Linked DNA regions of Saccharomyces cerevisiae S288C. Changing the gene in region 2 together with the main gene of any one other region gives a genetic interaction. Each region holds a gene or a part of one and is shown on either strand. Other genes may lie near its edges.

Region 1 (3,120 bases), on a different chromosome or scaffold from region 2:
AGTGACACGTAATTTATCTCCGCTATCGGTTGAAGAACAGAAGATTGCAGTATTGTGCCTACAAATGGCTCTTCCAAAGTTGTTTCTATTTTGTTCATATTATGCTCTACCAATAGATATAGTTGCGAAAAAAATGTCGGACCTTCATACCATTCGGGAACATAATTTATAGAGTCAAATTCTGACTTATACTTAGATTTTGTGATGTTTTCAGTTTTATTCAAATTCGAACCTAATAAACCCGAACACGGGATAAATTGGAATTCTGCGTCTGTCCACTGAAAGTTTTCCTTCAACACATAATTTAGCTCAGACTGAATCATTTCTAGTCGGTGCTTATCCCAACTAATTAGATCTGCCTTATTCAAAAGAATTATCAAGTGCTTTTTGCATGCGGAATTCTTGTTCAAATAAGAGATCACTTTTAAAATTTCATAAATCTGATTATTTGGACCATCTAATGATTTTTCCCACGAGTCATAATTGCAATCAATAACCAATACATAAACTTCAGGATCAAAGGTCAAAATTGAGTTCAGAGTTTCTTTATTGAAGTATTTGATACTACCAGGAGTGTCTATAAGCGTCAAGGTTGATGATGGCGGTAGTAAATCATTTTCTACCTGAATAACTTTCTTAAACATGGAAAATCCATTTTCTCTTTCTGTTTTGGTATTGTCTAGAATGACCTTAAAACTATTTGAAGATGAAGGATCCAAATTACTGCTTTTTTTTTGTAGTTCCCTCATTGATGACATAGAAATTTCGTTTAGATCATATAAAAGATGACCAAGCAAAGTGGATTTGCCTGCGTTTGTATCACCGAGGAACAAACATGTCAAATTCAGAGGATGGGTGGCAATGAATGAATGAATATCAATCGACTCAGTAGGTGGTGTTTGAAGGTTAATTGGTTCCTTTTTTTCGGCCTTGGGCACAGATTTGATATTTAAGTTTTCTAATTTTTCATTGAAAGCATTAAGTTGGGCCGATTGTATTATATCATCAGGACTTGGTCTATTGAAATTCTCAATGGCTACTTTACGAGTTGTTTTCGGCAGGTTACAAGGCACAAAAATACCAAGGAGCTCATTGTTATGCTTTTTTAAGGACAGAAATGATGAATTCTGCGACGATAGCGGTATTGATGTACTCAACGAGTTTTTTTTATCTTTTATGATAAAGTTTGTGAACGCAAAATCGTCGGTTTGATTTATGCATGGATCGTTTTTCAAGAAACAGTAATGGTTCATTTCTTTAATAGCCTTCCATGACTCTTCTAAGTTGAGTTTATCATCAGGCGATTTCCTTTTGGTAGGGAGTTCGTTTTCTTTGCTGTCTAATGTCACTGATTTTCCTTGTTTCTCCAAATCACTATTTGACTTCTTTAAGGCAGACAACTTTAAACTCAATGAAACACTATGCTGGTTCGGGGTAAAGTCGCTTCTTTTTACCTTGTCTTTTGCAAGTAGCGTCTTCAGATCCTTCCTTTTTGTCTCAGCATTGTTATCTTTAGTTTCTCTATTCTTATGTAGTCTTTCTAGTAAGGATGCACTTTTCGATGTACTATGAGACTGGTCCGCACTTAAAAGGCCTTTAGATTTTTCTATTCTTTTTCTTGCTAATTGCTCTAATAACGACATGTCAGGTGGTACTGTAAGTTTCGAAGACCACCTCCTCGTACGTGTATTGTAGAAGGGTCTCTAGGTTTATACCTCCAATCTGTTATAGTACATATTATAGTACACCAATGTAAATCTGGTCCGGGTTACACAACACTTTGTCCTGTACTTTGAAAACTGGAAAAACTCCGCTAGTTGAAATTAATATCAAATGGAAAAGTCAGTATCATCATTCTTTTCTTGACAAGTCCTAAAAAGAGCGAAAACACAGGGTTGTTTGATTGTAGAAAATCACAGCGATGGCAGATTATGATAGTGCGAAATATTGGTCCAAGCAGGGAGCTCGTCGTGGGTTACAGAAAACCCGTTACTACTGCCAAATATGCCAAAGGCAATGTAAAGATGCAAACGGATTTCAATCACATAACAAATCGCCATCTCATTTAAGGAAGATTAGTCAAGTGACAGCTGAGGACGCTAGGCGCTACAATATCCAGTTTGAAAAGGGATTTCTACAGTTATTGAAGCAGCGGCACGGAGAAAAATGGATTGATGCTAACAAAGTATACAACGAGTATGTTCAAGATCGCGATCATGTACATATGAATGCCACCATGCATCGTTCTTTGACGCAGTTTGTCCGGTACCTAGGCCGCGCGGGCAAGGTAGACGTGGATATGGATATTGATGATACATCTGAGAACGTTGAAGGTCCTTTGCTTATCAGGATCCATCCCTCATCTTTATCATCACCTTCTGAAGATGGAATGCTGCGAAGTCAACAAGAGGAGCAAGAAGTCATAGCCGCCGAGCTTTTGAAAAGACAACTCAATCGTGCTAAGCGACAAACTGAAAAGGTATATCAACCAGAGATGAAATCGGAAATTAGCGGGGATAGCACTCTGAAACGTGTTCAAGTCACCTTCCACGGGAATGGTCGGGTAAATAAAAAGAAAAAGAAGGTTCCTCCACGGAAAGATGGTATCAAGTTCCGTTGATTGAAAATTTTTCTTTTCAAGCGATGAGGTTAGCGAAGTTGTTCGAACAAGCCCAAATATGTTTAGAAGGCAGTACGAATTGATACCCTGAACTGTTACTACCCGTATACACGTATTAAGTAAGACAATGAGTAATGGACACGTCAAGTTTGATGCCGATGAAAGTCAAGCCAGCGCAAGTGCTGTCACGGATAGACAAGATGATGTGCTGGTAATATCAAAAAAGGACAAGGAAGTGCATTCAAGTAGTGATGAGGAAAGTGATGATGATGATGCTCCACAAGAAGAAGGGCTTCACTCTGGGAAAAGTGAGGTAGAATCACAGATCACTCAGAGGGAGGAGGCTATAAGGCTGGAACAATCACAATTGCGGTCCAAGAGAAGGAAGCAAAATGAATTATACGCCAAGCAAAAGAAATCAGTGAATGAGACAGAGGTCACTGATGAAGTAATTGCGGAGCTTCCTGAGGAATTGCTAAAAAATATAGATCAGAAGGACG
Region 2 (3,230 bases):
GTATTCATGGCAATACGGATTGTAAAGGTGTATGAGAAAAATTGTGGTAAATAACTTACTAAAAATAAAGCTCAGGTTAACTTAAATATTGTGGTTTTTAAAGGAATGTAAGTAGTTGGGTAGCACTAAACAAATGTTTTCTTGCTCGCTAGTTAATTTTTATAAAGGAAGGACTGTAAATAGTTGGAATTCGAGAGGGGAGCAAAGAAACTGTTTCTTTCAGTTCAAATGGTCTTGCTATAGTGTCTTATTCAACTGAGTAGATATATATATTTGAATATGCTGTTCTCACTTTTGAAGTAAGAGAGGGAATGCGAAGATAAATACAGAATAATTTCATGTAGTTTATAAATAAACAATGGCAATTTTGAAAAAAAAAAAACAACAAAGCACGATGCGAAATGAGCGAATTCCGTCCCAGCGCGTTTCAAACGGTAAGAGCAAAGAGAATGAGTGAAGTGACAGGAATTTGGCATACTGGTACGACGAGACGTAAACAATACTTAAAGAGCAGTTGAACATTAGCATTAGAACGATTATTAGCTATTGATGTCCTGACGTGGTGTACAAACTATACGGAATCTTGTATATAAATATAGGTAGCTATTGACGATGGTGAAACACTAATCGTCCTTATTCTTCTGTTTCGACTTCAAAGCATTATTAACTTTGTCCAATTTAAATTTTTTGGAAAGTCCTTTTTCCAATAGCCAGTAAGGAACAAATATCATGACAAAACGCATGATGTTGGCGAACGTTCCTCTATAAACATCTACAGGGTCACTAGTGCTCAAGATATCTTTAACCAGTTGCTTTGCGTACGCATCAGCTGGCATGGGCTTATTGTCCTTAGCCATGGTTTTTCTTGAATTAAAAGCTTCCCTACCTTCAGGGAAGTTGTATATTGAGGTTTCAGGCAAGGGCCTTTTATCAGCGATATCAGTAGCCACACCGCCAGTAATAGCGTTAATCACTCTCACGTTGAAGGGCTTCATCTCTAGATGTAACCCACGAGCATATTGGTGGATAGCAGCTTTAGAAGCGGAATAAATGCTACCAAAGGGGAATGACACAACTCCTGCCAAGGAACCAGTGAAGACAATGGTTCCTTTCGCTTTAATAAGGAACTCCGACAATTCACGGCACATGTTGATATGACCAAACACATTGACCTTAAAGCATTGTTCTACTGCAGCATCTGTTGCATCCAATGCAGGGAATGTACAACTCTGACCGGCATTGTTGTACAATAAATCTAATTTACCATCAGGTAAATTAGCTCGCAAAAAACCAGAAAATGTTACAATTTCTTCTGGCTTGGAAATATCCAACTTATATGGTTTGATACTATCGTTACCAAATTGGATGGCCAATTGTGCCATTGGTTCTAGTCTTCTTGCACATGCATAAACCAAATAGCCATTTCTGGCTAATTCCTTCGTTACCTCATATCCAATACCACCTGAGGCGCCTGTAACAACGGCAATCTTTTTAGGTTGTGACTGTAACTCCGACATACTCTTTGAAATCCTGATCAATATTTGAATTGAGTATATATTAATAGAAGTTGGGCATGATGAATAAAACTTATTCACTCTATTTACCTACCCCCTTCCCCCTTTCCATTGACTTATTTTTCACTTTTTTTCTCCACCGGATGAGGACAAGAGAAGCACCTAGCTGTGAATACACCAGAGGAGGAAGTAGGGGGAAAAAAACGATATCAATATAAAGTAAAGAATGATTCTTGAATAAATAGTAAATACAACTAATAAAAAAAGGTTCACATAAATAAAACGTTAAATTAAATAATTTTAAAAAGACTAAGCAGATGCTAACATCATGAACAAAAAAAAAATGTGAATGTATCAAAAAAAATATTTGTTAGATCATTCTTCAAGTAAAAAGGCTGTCCATAAACATTAAGGTAAAAATATTACGTGTTTATATGGCTGTATTTTCATGTTTTTCATATTTGAATTCATCTTTAGGATTGTTGGAAAACATCTTTCAAAAAGGCATCTTCTTCGGCCAAATGTAGTGATTTGCTACCGGCAGCAACAGCACCACTTGGGTTTCTACCACAGTATCTGACCTTGAAATCCTTATATTTATCCGTTTCTTTTAATGTTGTGTGTAAGCGTGGTTCTGTGTATGCCCACGAACCCATGTTCAATGGCTCTTCCTGGCACCAAACAATTTCTTCCAAGTTTGGATAAGAATTTAATGAATCACGTAGCTGAGCAAATGGGAATGGGTGCAGCTGTTCAATCTTTAAGAAAGCAGTGGTCTTATCACCCAAACTTTCACGTCTTTTATGTAGGGCAGTGTACACTTGGCCACTCAGCAAAACTAATCTCTTGGTTTCCTCTTTCGTACCAATACTTTTTCCATGTTCAATATCTTCGATAATCCATTGGAATCCGCCTTCAGTGAATTCGGAAAGAGATGATCTGGCCAATGGGTGACGCAGCAGCTGTTTAGAAAAGAATAACGCCAATGGTTTACGGAATTGACGATGTTGCTGTCTCCTTAGAATGTGGAATAAATTAGCAGGCGTAGTTGGATAAACAACCTGGAAATTACAATCCTGATGTTGTCTCTGTAGCTTTTCTTCAGATGGGAAATATCTTGGGTCTTCATTGGCTAGTTGCAAGAATCTTTCCAATCTACCAGACGAATGTTCTGGCCCCTGGCCATCATAACCATGGGGTAAAGACAAAACTAAACCAGAGCGTTGCTTCCATTTTTGTTCACCACCGGCAATAAATTGGTCAATAATAACCTGTGCTGTATTTGCAAAGTCACCGAATTGAGCCTCCCACATGACTAGATAATCTGGGGAGGTTAGCGAATAACCATATTCGAAACCCATTACACCGTACTCAGATAACGAGGAATTTGCAATGGTGAAGTCTGCCTTTTCATTATTCAGAGTGCTTAGCGGTGTGTAAATGGCTTCAGATTGTTGGTCATGCAAGACTGCATGACGTTGAGAAAATGTACCTCTTTCTACATCTTCACCGGAAACCCTAACGTTCTGACCATCCAAAACCAATGTACCGAACGCTAATGCTTCACCGGTGGCCCAATCGATGCCTTCACCTGTCTCAATAGATTTTCCTCTATTTTTCAAAATTCTCTTTAGATTTTTGTGCACTTCAAAACCTTCTGGCCACGAAGAGAGTACCTTACCTAGTTCTTTCAAAGTACTCTCTGGAACATTAGTT

What was found. Genes that interact genetically often act in the same process or in processes that back each other up.
Region 1: mutations in AYR1 (region 2) and RTS2 together harm fitness more than expected from each alone (negative genetic interaction), as found in Saccharomyces cerevisiae (one large-scale study listed by BioGRID).

Annotation. Positions count from the first base shown.
Region 1 is NC_001147.6:469,978-473,097, forward strand, and holds RTS2 (Rts2p), read left to right. Parts: upstream 1-1,921; coding exon 1,922-2,620; downstream 2,621-3,120. Other genes in the region: SKI7 (Ski7p), read right to left, coding at 1-1,643; BUD21 (Bud21p), read left to right, coding at 2,748-3,120.
Region 2 is NC_001141.2:124,491-127,720, reverse strand, and holds AYR1 (acylglycerone-phosphate reductase), read right to left. Parts: upstream 1,518-3,230; coding exon 624-1,517; downstream 1-623. Other genes in the region: alpha-ketoglutarate dehydrogenase KGD1, read right to left, coding at 1,988-3,230. UniProt on the Saccharomyces cerevisiae protein: Can convert acyl and alkyl dihydroxyacetone-phosphate (DHAP) into glycerolipids and ether lipids, respectively. Required for the biosynthesis of phosphatidic acid via the DHAP pathway, where it reduces 1-acyl DHAP to lysophosphatidic acid (LPA).